2 linked regions of the Anolis sagrei genome follow. The protein of the gene in region 2 interacts with the protein of the main gene of each other region in a pairwise test. Links are inferred from orthologs where the notes say so. Each region holds a gene or a part of one and is shown on either strand. Other genes may lie near its edges.

What was found.
Region 1: the proteins of MAFG (region 2) and BACH2 interact in binary tests that used the Homo sapiens proteins (3 or more experiments, as listed by UniProt). The link is inferred for Anolis sagrei from reciprocal best matches to the Homo sapiens genes MAFG and BACH2.

What each region holds. Positions count from the first base shown.
Region 1 is NC_090021.1:104,356,367-104,363,724, forward strand, and holds the start of BACH2 (transcription regulator protein BACH2), read left to right. Parts: upstream 1-4,343; 5' UTR 4,344-5,071; intron 5,072-7,358. UniProt on the Homo sapiens protein: Transcriptional regulator that acts as a repressor or activator. Binds to Maf recognition elements (MARE). Plays an important role in coordinating transcription activation and repression by MAFK.
Region 2 is NC_090022.1:113,769,877-113,777,382, reverse strand, and holds the start of MAFG (transcription factor MafG), read left to right. Parts: upstream 1-4,498; 5' UTR 4,499-4,567; coding exon 4,568-4,583; intron 4,584-7,506. UniProt on the Homo sapiens protein: Since they lack a putative transactivation domain, the small Mafs behave as transcriptional repressors when they dimerize among themselves.

The sequences.
Region 1 (7,358 bases), on a different chromosome or scaffold from region 2:
TTGTTCCTTCCAAATTTTCAAAAGTTCAGTAGTCTGGAACCAAATAAATGTTTTAGATATGATCCTATGCTTGATGTTCTGTTGTTATTGTATGCCTCCAAGTCAAAGCCAATTTACAGAGATCCTATGTTGGGTTTTCTTAACCATATTTATTCAGAGGAGGTTTACTTGCCATTTCCTTCTTCTAAGGCTGAGTGTGCGCGCAATTTGTGCTTCTGTGGCAGAGGTAAAATTCTTGGTCTTCTAGGTCCTAGTCCAGCACTCTAACAATATACTTCTGGCTTCAAGTATGTTGGATAAGGGATTCTCAAAACATATTTAGTTTAAAGGGAATAACATGTATTTTCTTCCAAAAATCTTTCACAACAGGGCATTAAAAAACAGACAACCCTACTTCTCAAAATTATCTATCAAAGCTACATTGTATTTACAAGGTAAGAAGTGACTGATTCAAACCTACTTAATTGGTGGTATTAGTTTCCTAAATCACGGCTAAGCCAATTTAACCCCTGCAGCAGGACATAACTGTTGTTGTCAATGTGTCATTTGCAATTGTGTCCCTTGCAATGATGACCAGACAGGGAGGGAAGGGAATGCCGAGGCCAGGCACTGTGTTATTTCATAGGGCAGATTGTAAAGGAAATGATCCCATACATACACATACACCGAAAATGGTGGTCCCAACTACAGTGCCAAATTATGCAGTTTGAAACCATACAGTCTCATTTGAGTAGAAAGCCTCTTTTCCCAAGAGGAAAGGATTCTGCCTATCTGGGGGTCCTTCTTCACAGCCCTATATCCCAGAATATCAAGGTAGAAAATCCCACATTATCTGAGTGTGGACTCAGATAACCCAGTTCAAAGCAGATATTGTGGGATTTTCCGCCTTGATATTCTGGGATATAGGGCTGTGTGGAAGGGCCCTGAGTTGATGCTGCCATATCATTGACTTTTTGAAAATTCCCAAATTGATTTAGAATCTTTTGACAAATAAAACAATTGTAAGCAAGGCTTTCTAAGCTCTCCTTGCTTTATAGAATAAGAATTTAGCGGCAATTTTGGATCAGTCATTGCTCCCATTGATTTCAGTGCACAGGATTTTTAGTTGTATGTGTGGAACTGATATAGTTTCACTGAGGCCCCTTCTACACTGCCATGTAAAATCCAGATTATCTGCTTTGAACTGGATTATCTGGCAGCATAACATATATAATTCGGTTCAAAGAAGATAATGTGAATTATCTGCTTTGATAGTCTGGATTATATGGCAATGTAGAAGAGGCCTTAGTCACTTAGGATTGTCTATACAAGATGCATCTTTTTCTCCATACTTCCATCATTTGTCCTATTGAAAAATAACACCATATCACACTACTTTTGCCCCTGGGTTATAAATGTCATTTCCTAATAGGTTCTATCATAAAAACATGGAAATAATTATTAAACTTCAAAAACTTTGTTTCTGTGGGACATCCTGCAGCACATTTTGCTGTTGTTTTTCAATTAATATCTTATTGAGTCTCGATCAATTCAACAGTTTGTGACAGCCACAAAAATGAAGTTTCTGGAGTATAATGACTACTTTCAAAGTAAGGACCACACAATTAAATAGGAAATAACATTTTTAAACTGTTATTGAGCAATTTAGGGCAGTTATTGAGCAATTTAAGGCAGATAATGAGATCCGGAATGCAAAAACCGAGTCCGTGCCTGGCGAGGCTTAAAGCTAAAACCCAAAGCTCTCAATCAAAGAAGTCTCACCTCTTGAAGCAGAAGCCACTGAGGTACGTTATTTGACCCGGTCAGAAAGGATGACAGCCAGTGGTAAACCGCTCCAAGAAGCTGACCTGCTTTGCAAGCACAAAACATGCATTTTTATATAGTGCAGTCTTTTGTTTTTCATGCACCCATCCAGCAGGGGCGGGCTTTGCACTGACTGGAGGAGCCAGCCTTGACGTCACAAACAGCTGGGGGGGGGGGGTTCCCTTCCATGTGGAGAGGCAGCCAATTAGAGAGTGTTCCCCACTTCCAATGCAGATTCCTGCTGTCCAATGGCTGACAGGGGGCTGAGTGAGCAGTGGAACAAAAGGAGTTATAGTTTTATGTATGGATTACTATGTCTTGAGACAAACAAAGAGGGACCCTCGAGTCCCATGGGTTTGATTGTCCCTATAATGGTCCTATGAGTCCTCAACGAATAAGGCTTGACATCAATATCCTGGCTTGACATCAATATCAGAACAGAACAGTTTTGAAATTTTGCTACATAGTTCATTGTCATCTGGAGTTTCATGTAGCCATGCAGTCTGTGAATGTATCCCCATGGACAGACAGCTCATATAGTGTATTTTTTACATTGTTGTTATAGTAATTCTAGACTAGGAAGTTTAGTAAAAACTAAAACACTCGTTGCCGTGGTGCGATTCATGCTTTTTTCATATTATTCTCCTCTAGGCATTTGGTTTGAATCAGTGATTGATTAGTTATCATTACCTCGCTGAGCTACGGTGGTGTAATGGGTTAAACCCTTGTGTCGGCTGGACTGCTGACCTGAAGGTTGCCAGTCCGAATCTGTGAAATGAGGTGAGCTCCTGTCTGTCAGCTCTAGCTTGTGGGGATATGAGAGAAGCTCCCAGCAAGATAGTAACATATTTGGGCATCCCTTGGACAACATCTCTGTAGACGGTCAATTCTCTCACACCAGAAGGGACTTGCACTATGTTCTCAAGTCGCTACTGATTTTTTTTAAAACCTAATTTGCAATTTGCAAACCTTTCTTTAAAAAATAACATATTTTAGTGGATAGCAATGGGGCTGTTATGGGATGCCTCCTCTCCCTTTAAAGGACTTGATGCGATCCACGGCCTCACCATTACTACACTGCTGCAAAGAGAGCGAGTGGTTTCATGAAACCCTCTTATTGTGCTGAGGCTTATTAAATATGGTTTTCTGTGGGCGAACAGATGGCGACTACTGGATGGTATATGTCCTGCATCGGAAACTAGAGCTGATGTGGCCTATTCAATACAATTCGCTGCCAGAACAAAAATATGGTCCGCAGCCTTACCATTAATACACCGTTGCCTCAAAACCACATGGCAACAAGAGCAACTGGTCTTACGAAACCCTCATATAGTGCCAAGGCAATGGGGATGTGAGGAGGGGAGAGGCTGACTACCCACAAAAGATTACTACCACATCAGCTGTACATTATTAAATATATTTTTCTGCGTGTGAGCAGATGGCAACTACTGGATGGCATATGTTCTGTATCAGAAACTAGAGCTAATGTGGTCAATCCAATGCAATTTTCTGGATCGGCACCCCAAACAATTGACCAAAAACTGATTCGTAACTTACTTGTTGGGAGGAGAGCAATGACCAATCTGGATAAAATAGTGAAGAGTAGAGACATCACACTGGCAATGAAGATCTGCATAGTTAAAGCAATGGTATTCCCCATAGTCACCTATGGATGTAAGGGCTGGACCATAGGGAAGGCTGAGTGAAGGAAGAGAGATGCTTTTGAACTGTGGTGCTGGGGGAAAGTTTTGAGAGTGCCTTGGACCGCCAGAACATCCAACCAGTCCATACTCCAGGAAATACAGCCTGACTGTTCACTGGAGGGAAGGATAGTAGAGGAAAAGTACTTTGGCCACATGATGAGAAGACAGGAAAGCTTAGAGAAGACAATGATGCTTGGAAAAATGGAAGGAAAAGAAAGAAGGGCCAACCAAGGGTAAGATGGATGGATGGGATCCTTGAAATGACTGGACTGACCTTGAAGGAGCTGGGGGTGGCCACGGCTGACAGGGAGCTCTGGCGTGGGCTGGTCCATGAGGTCAGGAAGAGTCGGAAGAGACTGAACGAATGAACAACAAACCCATTTGGTACTAATGTTTGAGAGTGGTCCCTGGTAAAAAAAAAGGTTGGGAACCACTGCTTTAGAACTTTCCAGGCGGGAGGGCAACAAGACTACAATCCCCAGTATACCACGCGAACGAAATAAGAAGCAGAAGTTGGATGGGAGAGAGAGAGAGAGAGAGAGAGAGAGAGAGAAGGAGAAGCGCGGGAGGCAGCGTGGAATTGCGAGAGAGCGCCTTCTTCTTCTGCGCATGCGTCAGAAAAGCCCCCTTCGGCGGCGGTGACGGCGGCAACGTCAGCGTAGGAGGAGCCGCGATTCTGAGAGGCGTGGGCGCTACGCCGTTTGCGCAGCGTGGTTGTGAATGTGAATGGGTGGGAGTATCGCCGTCGAGAGAGAGAGAGAGAGAACGCGCGCGAGAGGAGAGAGAGAGAGAGGCTGCCCTCTTCTTCTTCTTCTTCTTCTGCTACGTCCGTACGTAAGGCAGGCGCGCGCCTGTGTTTGTGTGAGCGAGAGTGAGTGTGCGCGCGCGCGGTTGTGGCGGCGGCGGCGGGAGGAGGATGATGTCAGCCTTCGAATGTCAACAATGTAGCGATTGAAGGGAGTAGGCGGCGTTCCATTGGGAAGAAGGAGAAGGAGAAGGAGGAGGAGGAGGAGGAGGAGGAGAGCGCGAGCCACGGAGACCGGGAAGGAAGGAAGGAAGGAAGGAAAGAAGGAAGGAGGGAAGCGCGAGGCAGGCAAAGCAGCAGCAGCAGCAACAACAAGAACAGCCTTTGCCTTGTGCAGCAGACAAGCCCCTTTTCCCCGCGTAGCAAGCAAGCAACCAGCGGGTGGCTTCTTTTCATCACCCCCCTCCCTCCCCTTCCTCTCTTTTTTCTATCTATTTCTGCTGCTGCTTCCATCTCCTCTTCCTTTTCCCCGCGCCCTCCTTATTTGAGAATATATATATATATTTCTCAAACTGTCCCTTTTTTCCACCTCTTTTTAAGTCTTGGCTTCGTGGACACAGCTTCTGCAATTTTTTTTTTATTTTTGGCCATTTTTTAAAAAAAAAATCTTTTAAAAATATTTGTGACGCGCGTCTTCTTCAGATGCAAATTTATTTTTCATTTCCCGACCTCAGCAACAACAAACCACCACCAGGAGCCTCGTTTTCCCCTCCCCTCTCTTTGGAAAGTTGCAAGGAAGGAAAGAAGGAAGGAAGGAAAGGTGAGCCTCTTCTCCTTTCCTACTTTTGAATGGAAGTTGGAAGAAAGGTTTGGGGAAACAATTGCTATTCAGAACGTTCTTATTATTGGGATGCTGTGAGTTTTTCAGGCTGTATGGCCATGTTCCAGAAGCATTCTCTCCTGACGTTTCGCCTGCATCTTTGGCAGGCATTCACAGACGTTGTGAGGTCTGTTGGAAACTAGGAAAATTGGGTTTAAATATTTGTGAAAGGTCCAGGGTGTCAGAGGCAAGTGTGAATGTTGCAATTGGCAACCTTGAATAGCATTGAATGGCCTTGCAGCTTCAAAGCCTGGCTGTTTCCTGTCTGGGGGAATCCTTTGTTGGGAGGTGATAACTGGGCCTGATTGTCTGCTTGGGGCAAGTGTGAATGTTGCAATTGGCAACTTTGATTAGCATTGAATGGCCTTGCAGCTTCAAAGCCTGGCTACTTTCTGTCTGGGGGAATCCTTTGTTGGGAGGTGATAACTGGCTCGAATTGTTTCAGTGTTTTAAGGTGGCCAATTGCAACATCCACACCTACCTTCAACAGACAAGAGTTCTTTCTCCCATCATGGACACTCTACAGATATGTAAACCCCATTTTCCTAGTTTCCAACAACCCACAACCTCTGAGGATGCCTGCCATAGATGCAGGTGAAACGTCAGGAGAGAATGCTTCTAGAACATGGCCTGGAAAACTTACAGCAACCCAGTGATTCCAGTCATGAAAGCCTTTGACAATGCATTGAACATCTCTACAGAAAGAAACTGTTGTTGTTATTATTGTTGTTGTTATCATCATCATCATCATCACTACTGCTACTATTGATAATGTTTTGCCTGTGTGTCAAAGGAGGGGAGTGGGAGGAAGTCTCTAGGTGGGCTGCTTGGACTGAGATTGTTGTGAGAATATATATATATTTCTTTGGTTGGTATTTGGGGGAGGAGCGAAAAAGGGGTGTGTGAGAGTGAGTGAGTGTGTCTTTCTGTGGAGTGGGTCCTTTTTAATTGCATTAAAGCTTCCGTCCCAACCGCACACACTAAAAGGGGACAAGGATAGCTGGAGAAGGAGGGACAGAGTAAGGCTATCACTGGAGGGGTGTGGGGGTGGGCAATAGCTTTGGGATTTGGGTTGTCTCCTTCTCATTTAACCACTTGGGAGAAATTTGAAGAAGAATTAAAAACAGAGATGGAAGGATTAACCGCAGGTTAAAAATACCCCCGACCTTTTCACACCTCTGTTTCTTTTTGTCTTCACCCCCCCCCCATTTTGTACCTTTGGTTCAGTCCAGTTTCCCCCTCTGTTTGGCCATAGAATCTTGAGTCCTCCCTTGGAAGGAAGGGGCAGGAAAGGCTTAGGTGAGCTCAAGACAAGTTCAGAGACAGAGAGAAAGAAAGAGGAAAGTATGGCCCCTTCCAGACCGCTGTATAAAATCCCACATTGAGCTGGACTATATGGCAGTGTGGACTAAGGGCCCTTCCACACAGCCATATAACCCAGAATATCAAGGGAGAAAATCCCACAGTATCTGCTTTGAACTGGGTTATCTGAGTCCACAATGCTATATATCCCATTTCAAACCAGATCATGTGGGATTTTATTCAGCTGTGTGGAAGGGGCCTCAGATACCCCACTTCAAAGCAGATATTCTGCCTTGATATTCTGGGTTATATGGCTGTATGGAAGGGCACTTTATGGGCAGGGCAGGAAATGCTACCATTTATTTTCTTTTTATATTGTATTATATTAATGTATATTTTATTATTACCTCAATATAATGTGATTTATTATTTTATTGTTTTATTATCTATTGTATCTGGCACCAAGTAGTGTCAGAACAATAGTAAAGGTAATATTTTATTATTTTATATTTCTTTCTGTTGCAGCTAGTAGTGTACTAATCGTACTTACTTAGGCGATCCCTCGTTGTTCAGGTAGGATAGTCTTCCAGGGTAATAATAATAATCGTAATAGAAATACTAAATGTCTTCGATTCTAAGAGGCCATCGGTTATAAGATTCATGCTCATTTCAATACCACCAAGAGAAAAAAGATATATGTATATATACACATACACACATATACACACACACAAATCTACCCACACTAGAGGGCTTGCAAGGGGCCGTGGTGGTGCAGCAGGTTAAACCCATGAGCTGTGGAACTTACTGACTGAAAGGTCGGTGGTTCAAATCCACAGTGGGGTGAGCTCCCGGTTTTAGTCCCAGCTTTTGCCAACCTAGCAGTTCAAATGTGAGCAGATCAATAGGTACCACTCCAGTGGGA
Region 2 (7,506 bases):
TATCCACATGCCAGAGTCACTTCTTAGTGGCAACAAGTTATTCAGTCAGCCTTCCCTAACCACAGATTGCACATCCACAGTTTCAGCCATTAATGGCTTCGAGTTACATATACTTTGATTTTGCCATTTTATACAAGCAGCCCTGTTTTATTACACTACAGTATTTTATATAATGGGACCTGGGCATCCATAGATTTTTGTCTCCATGGGGTCCACTGTACAGGTGTGGGGAAATCTCTCATTCACTTCAGAAGTGTGTTTCTTTGTGCATACTACTTACTTACTTTTACTTAGGCAATCCCTCGTTGGCCGAGTAGGATAGTCTTCCAGGATCAGAATTCTTGTGAGACTGTAGGTGGCTGTGGAGCCCTGTTCTTGATCTGCATCTTCTCTCGCAGTGAAGGCATTGGTTTCCAAGTGGAAGGCGGTCCCGGTCGGGGCTGGCTTGACGACCTTCCTCTTGGCACGTTTCTCTCTTTCACCCTCCATTCGTGCCTCTTCAAATTCTGCAGCACTGCTGGTCACAGCTGACTTCCAGCTGGAGCGCTCAAGGGCCAGGGCTTCCCAGTTCTCAGTGTCTATGCCAGAGATTTTAAGGTTGGCTTTGAGCCCATCTTTAAATCACTTTTCCTGTCCACCTTTGTGTATAATGAAGAATGCAAACTCTTAATTGGCCTTTATATGTTGAGCCTTATATTTTGGGGTATTTGTGTGTACATGTCCAAATGCTTCAAAGCCAATGCAGTTTCCATTTTGTCGCCAAAGGGCTTAAGCAGCCAAGTAGCAGCAAGGGGTCTGCCTAATCCATAACCTACTGCCAGAGCTCAGGCTAGGAGCCCAAACTGCATTAATTCTACAATATAAATGCTAATTGATGCATCAAATTAATGTGATTTTAACCCCACTTTAACTGCCATGGCTCAATTATATGAAGTCCTGGGAGTTATAGTTTTATATGGCCTTTAGTTATAGTTTTATATGGCCAAACACCCCTTTTGCCTCAGCCTTCTCCCAAAAGGAGACTGGTGTTCAACCTGACCAGTACGAAGCTGAAGAGGTAATAGGGGAAATGCAACCCAAAATAGGTAAGCAAGTAGTTTAGGAATACCTGGCTACTCTAAATGAATTCAAGTCTCCGGGGACAGATGAACTATGTCCAAGGGTATTGTAAGAACTAGCAGAAGTCATTTCAGAACCACGGGCAATAATCTTTGAGAATTCTTGGAGAACTGGAGAAATGCAGACTGGAGGAGGGCAAATATTGTCCCTATCTTCAAGAAGGGACAAAAAGAGGATTTAAACAATTACCGTCCAGTCAGCCTGACATCAATACCAGGAAAGAGTCTGGAGCAGATTATTAAGGAAGAAGCCTACAATCACTTAGAAAGGAATGCTGTAATTAATAAAAACAACAACATGGATTTCTCAAAAACCAGTCATGTCAGACTAATCTTATCTCGTTTTTCAATAGAGTTACAATCTTGGTAGATACTGGGAATGCTGTGGATGTATTATATCTTGATTTCAGTAAGGCCTTCGTCAAATTCTGCTATGAACTTCATACAAGCAAACAAATCAAATGTGGGCTAGGCAATACTACTACTAGGTGGATTTGTAATTGGTTAAGTGAGTGAACCCAAAGAGTGCTCCCCAATGGTTCCTCTTCATCCTGGAAAGAAGTGACTAGTGGAGTGCCGTAGGGTACGGTCCTGGGCCCAGTACTGTTCAATATAGTCATTAATGACTTGGATGAAGGTTTAGAGGGCGTGCTTATCAAGTTTGCAGATGACAACAAATTAGGAGGGATAGCTAATACTCCAGAGGACACGATCAGAATTCAAAATGACTTTAACAGATTAGAGAGAAGGGTCAAAACTAACAAAATGAATTTCAACAAGGACAAATGTAAGATACTACACTTGGGCAGAAAAAAATGAAATGCAACAATACAAAATGTGAGAAAGATCTTGGAGTCTTCATAGACAACAAGTTGGACATGAGCCAACAGTGTAATCAGCATCTTAAAAAGCCAATGGGATTCTGGGCTGCATCAACAGGAGTTTAGTGTCTAGACTGAGGGAAGTCACTGTGCCTTTGTATTCAGCTTTAGTCAGACCTCATCTGGAAGACTCTGTCCAATGCTGGACACCACAGTTCAAAAGAGAAGCTGGAAGGTGTCCAGAGGAGGGCGACTAAAACTAAAGGCCTAGAGACCATGAATCCTTAAAGAACTGGGTATGTTTAGCCTGCAGAAGAGAAGATTGAGAGGAGACACAATGGCCATGTATAAATATGTAAAAGGTTGTCATTTTTATAATGTTTTATTGTTCTGGTTATTGTTAAATGTTTTTAATTGTGTTACCTTGTAATCTTTGTCTATGCTGGGCTTGGTCCCCATGTAAGCTGCCCTGAGTCCCTTCGGGGAGATGGTGGCAGGATATAAGAATAAAAATATTATTATTTGATACATAACAAGATAAGTACACAGCAAACAAGTTCACTATGCTGGCCTTTATATTTGATCACATGCCAGACACTTCCCAAATGTCTAGGACTGTGTGATGTAACGGCGAATAATGCATGCCAATCTGAGTAGGGTGGCCTTTTGCAGCTGACAGAAGGTAATTTTGTCAGCGCAGATTGTTTTTTAATGCAGGCCAAGGTCTTTAGGCACTGCACCCAGTGTACTGATCACCACTGAGACCACCTTTACTGGCTTGTGCCAGAGTCTTTGCAGTTTTATCTTTTAATCCTCTAATAATAATAATAATAATAATAATACAAGAAAGAGGGAGTAGGTAATAATAATAATACTTTTACTTTACTTAGGTGATCCCTCGTAGTCCGAGGATGATGGTCCTCCAAGAGTGGTATCCTGGGGATAATAATAATAATAATAATAATAATAATAAATATTATTATTACAAGGAAGAGGGAGCAGGCTTGTTTTCTGCTGCCCTGGAAACCAGTATGTGGAGCAACTGGTTTATATGACAGGAGAGAAGATCCCACCTGAACATTAGGAAGAACTTCCTGAGCGTAAGAGCTGTTCAGCAGTGGAACTCTGTGCCCCGGAGTGTGGTGGAGGCTTCATCCTTGGAGGTTTTTTAAATAGAGGCTGGGTGGCTATCTGTCGGGGGTGCTTTGAATGCAATTGGGGATTGGACTGGATGGCCCACGAGGTCTCTTCCAACTCTATGATTCTATGAAACTTGAAAAACATCATATGCCAGGACCACTGTGAATGGTGTGGGGAGGCTGGCTGGCCACCTGTCGGGGCTGCTTTGACTGTGCTGTCCCTGCGAGGGCGACTGGGGTTGGGGCTGGGCGGCCCCTGCACGCGGCGCTTGCCCAACTCTATGATTCCCGGAGCGAGTCTTTACATCCATCCATCCCTACCTCTATCCATCCCTCCCCTGGGCGGCTGCACCGACTGGCTTCATGAATGGAGGCACGTGACCCAAACATCACGTGACGCGTCCGTGAGCAGCGGTGGCGGCGGCGGGCCCCGGACTCTCGGTCCCTCTGAGCGGCGTGGCGGCCTCCCCGTCCCCGCCCCGGCCCGGCCCTCCCCTTCCCCGGCGGCACCGAGCGAGCGAGCGGAGGGTGAGCGAGGGAGAGAGAGAGGCCGGGGCCCCCTCCCCTCCTCCCGGCCTTTGAAGGGAAAGACGGAGGGAGCCTGCCTGCCTGCCTGCGTGTGTGTGTGTGTGTGTGTGCGTGGAGGAAGAAAGAGGCAGCGGGGCAGGAGAGGCCGCGCGCGCGGTGTGTGCCCTGTGCGCGCGTGCTGGGGAGGGGGCTCCTTCCCTCCTTCGCCATGTAGTCTTGCGTGGAGTTTCCCTCCTGGGTCCGTGTGCTTCCGGGAAGGCCACCCTTGCATCCCCCCCCCCCCACCTTTTCCTTTCCCTTTCCCGCGGGTTTCCAGGTGTGGGCCCAGGTGAGCGGGAGGCGGCCTCTCCTTCCTCCTCCTGCTCCTGCTGCTGCTGCTGCTGCGCCTCGCCTTGTCTCTGACAGGTGGGTGGGCTTCCCTTGTCTCCCCCTCCCTCTGCCTCTGCCTTTCTTTCCTTTTCCTCGCGGCGTGGGAGAAGCCTGCCCTGGTTTGTTTTCTCCCCCTCCAGCTTCTCCTTGCTAGAAATGCTCCCCCGTTTCCTCCCGGATCTCTTTTGTTGTTGAGTTGCGGCGGGGAGGAAAAAGTAGTTGACCCTCCCCTTCCCCAGCCAGTCCTTGGGTGATCGTTGTTGTTGTTATTATTCGAGAGTGTGTGCCCGCTCCTTCCCTTCCTTTCCTTGGGGCAGAGGAGGGGAGAGGCTGCCTGCAGGCTGGCCGTCTCCTCCTTCTCCCTCTCTCCCTCTCCCTCTCCCTTGTGCAGCCATGTCTGGCAGAGTGGAAGGGCTTGTGGTGCTGACTCATCAGGTGTCTGTGGGGGGGGGGGGAGGCAGGGGGAGCAGCCTGTGCCTGTGAGTGAGGATTTGAGGGGAGGGCATGAGGATCAAGGGGAGGGGGCTCTCTCACCCCCTTGCACCACCTCCCGCCTTTGAGCCTTGCTGGGTGACATTGCTGACTCATCAACATGAGGTCACCACTAGGTAAATGCTGCATATACACATACACAAAAAGGAAGGGGGTCTGGCTGTAGTTTGGGGGAGGGGGCTGCCATAGGTCAGCTGCAGAAGAGACCTGACCTGCTGATTCATCTCCTGGCAGAGAAGAGTGCCAAGTTTGGGTGGGAAAAGGGGAGCACCTGAGATTCCCTTTCCCCCCCCTTTGCTTTGGCTGCATTGAGTGTGTTGGGAGAAGCGCAGCCTGGCAGGACAGAAGGGTGCCCATGACGATGACCAAGCGGAGAAGGGGTATTTGGCAGAACTTTTGGCAAGAGATCCTTTTCTGAAAACTTGTGGGTGCTTAAGGTGGGTCAGGCACACATTGGGTTGTTTTTGACAGCAGCCTATCCTCCGCTGTCTTTTTTACTGGGAACAGAGACTCTGAGCCTTTCCCAAGGAGTGGGAATCATGCCTTTTTATGTCTCTGTCCGTACGGTAGTTACTCCTGTCTTGTATCATTCTGTTGATGTTGTCAAATGCTGTCGCTAACATAGTCATTCTGTGCTGCCATCTGTAGCAGACATTATTGTTTTATATACTTTCACCTGGACAGTTTTACGGGCCATTTTGGGCCAGGCAGTTTACATGTTGCCCTAAGCACCTCGTCTCCATGGTTCTTCTGTTTTTATTGGCTTTGGTCCTGAAGAAAAAGGACAGCTTTATGGGAAGGACTACTTCTGTCTCTGCTGTTAGACAAGGGCCCTGTGAAAGAGGTTGGTATTGTGTCACACTGAAATGGCAGGGAGGGCTTTCATCTAGAGATTTGTAGGATGGAGCACATCTGTGCAACAAGTGCATGTTGTCCTCTACTGAGGGACCTTCCACAGAGCCATATAACACAGAGTATCAAGGCAGACACCCCCCAATATCTGCTTGGAACGGGTTTATCTGAGGGACCTTCCACACAGCCAAGTAACCCAGAATAGCAAGGTAGAAAATCCCAATATCTGCTCTGAATTGGGTCATCCAAGTCCATCCTGCCATATATTCCAGCTCAAAGCAGATAATGTGGAATTTTATTCAGCTGTGTGGAAGGGACCTGCATCCCTAGTGGGACATTTCCCATAGCAAACCTGGCTGGAGCCTGTCATCGTCACCTGCAGCCACGACTCCGGAGGGCAGCCTGTCCTCTGCCAGTTGGTGGGTGGACAGAATGGTCAGTGTCTATCTTGTGCTCCAGATGTGTTTGCATGGGATGTTTTCTGGTAAAAGCAGCTAGCCATCTTGGTTTAATATGCTTCTGACCCAGGCATGGGCAAACTTCGGCTCTCCAGGTGTTTTGGACTTCAACTCCCAGAAATCCCAGCCAACTTACCGGCTGTCATGAATTGTGGGAGTTGAAGTCCAACACATCTGGAAGGCCGAAGTTTGTCCATGCCTGTCCCAACCTATGGATTTAAAACAGTAAGTTAGGAGGGCTCTGGAAAGTTGCCTGATTTAGACTGCAGAGTAGGTGAAACTTGGTATTCCTATAACAGATCTGTGTCATTTGCATATCTATTCCTGTCTTGAAAATTGATTTTTAAAAAATATTATAGGGGGCATCATAAACAGGGATAAATTGAGTCAAGATAGTTAGGAGGCAGACTTGATTTAAAAACAAAACAACCTACCTACAACATTGCATTTCTTGGAGGAAGCATTGGGTAGTGTTGTACCCTTTACTGCATGTTGGGATTGTGTGGTATAGAGATCATACTGCCGGTCTTGAAGGGGTGATGTGCAAAAGTCTTCCAATTTTTGTATCTAAAATACTGCAATGTGGACAGTTTTCCCTCTGTTTAGATAAGTGAAATAACGTGAGGTATTTATATATTTTATTTATTGTGTCAGAAGCAAATTGAGAATACATTTATAATGTATAAAATGCCACAAACAAAGTTAAAAGCTTGGCATTATGCTAGATTTCCTTTGACCAGAAGCTGGCCACTTGGAGTGCCTCTGGTGTGGCTGTAAGAAGGTCCTCCATTGTGCATGTGGCAGGGCTCAGGCTGCACTGTAGTAAGTGGTCTGTGGTTTGCTCTTCTCCCCACTTGCATGTCATGGACTCTACTTTGTAGCCCAATTTCTTAAGGTTGGCTCCACATCTCGTGTTGCCATAAGGTGTTTATGACAAATGGGAAACAAAATTGATGTGTCAGGGCTTGAAGCAAGAATTCAAAGAAACAGGGAAATGAATGAAGTTCTATTTCATTTTGATTGTATGCTTAGCTTAGTGATGTTAAGTAATGAGGCTGGCATCTCAGTCTAAGGTCATGTAGGAACAACTAATTTAGGTCCCCATCCCACCAGTTCTGCTGACTAAGAGGCACGCTCACAGCAAAAGCAATGGTGAAGCACTTAGTATATAAATACACTGTACAGGGGAGTCATGTCTTCTTGGAGGGGATAAGATTTTCTGGTGACCATACAGCTCTGAAAGTCTTACTGGATATCATTGAGTTCATATTCCTTTCCCAGGTTAGAACTCTTGACAAAGGGATCACTATATTTCTGAAGGATAATTTGGAAGCTCAGTTTGATACCTTCCTTTAAATGGATGTCAGTGGCTATGTGCTTTTAAAGAAATACAGGGTTATGTTAGGGAGACTTTTTGTCCTACACCTGTTGGGAAGCCTCCCACTGTGGGCTGTCATCCAGCTCCTGGTCCCCCCTTGCTCCCGTCCTGCCGCCCTCTTTATCCCTTACAGCTGGGCCTCCGGTGATGGGCTGTCTTTACTGCTGGAATGGATGACGTCACCATGTTTACACTCGTTTGATGGCACTGCTCTGTGAACCAGGAATGTTGAGAATGGGGCCTGTGTTGAATCATGCACTCTCTGTCAGCTCTGTTGTGAGCGAAGAATTGGCGGTGCTTGTGCTGAGTGCAGGCCTTTTGAGTCCTGGCGAAATGTGTTGAGGCTGCACT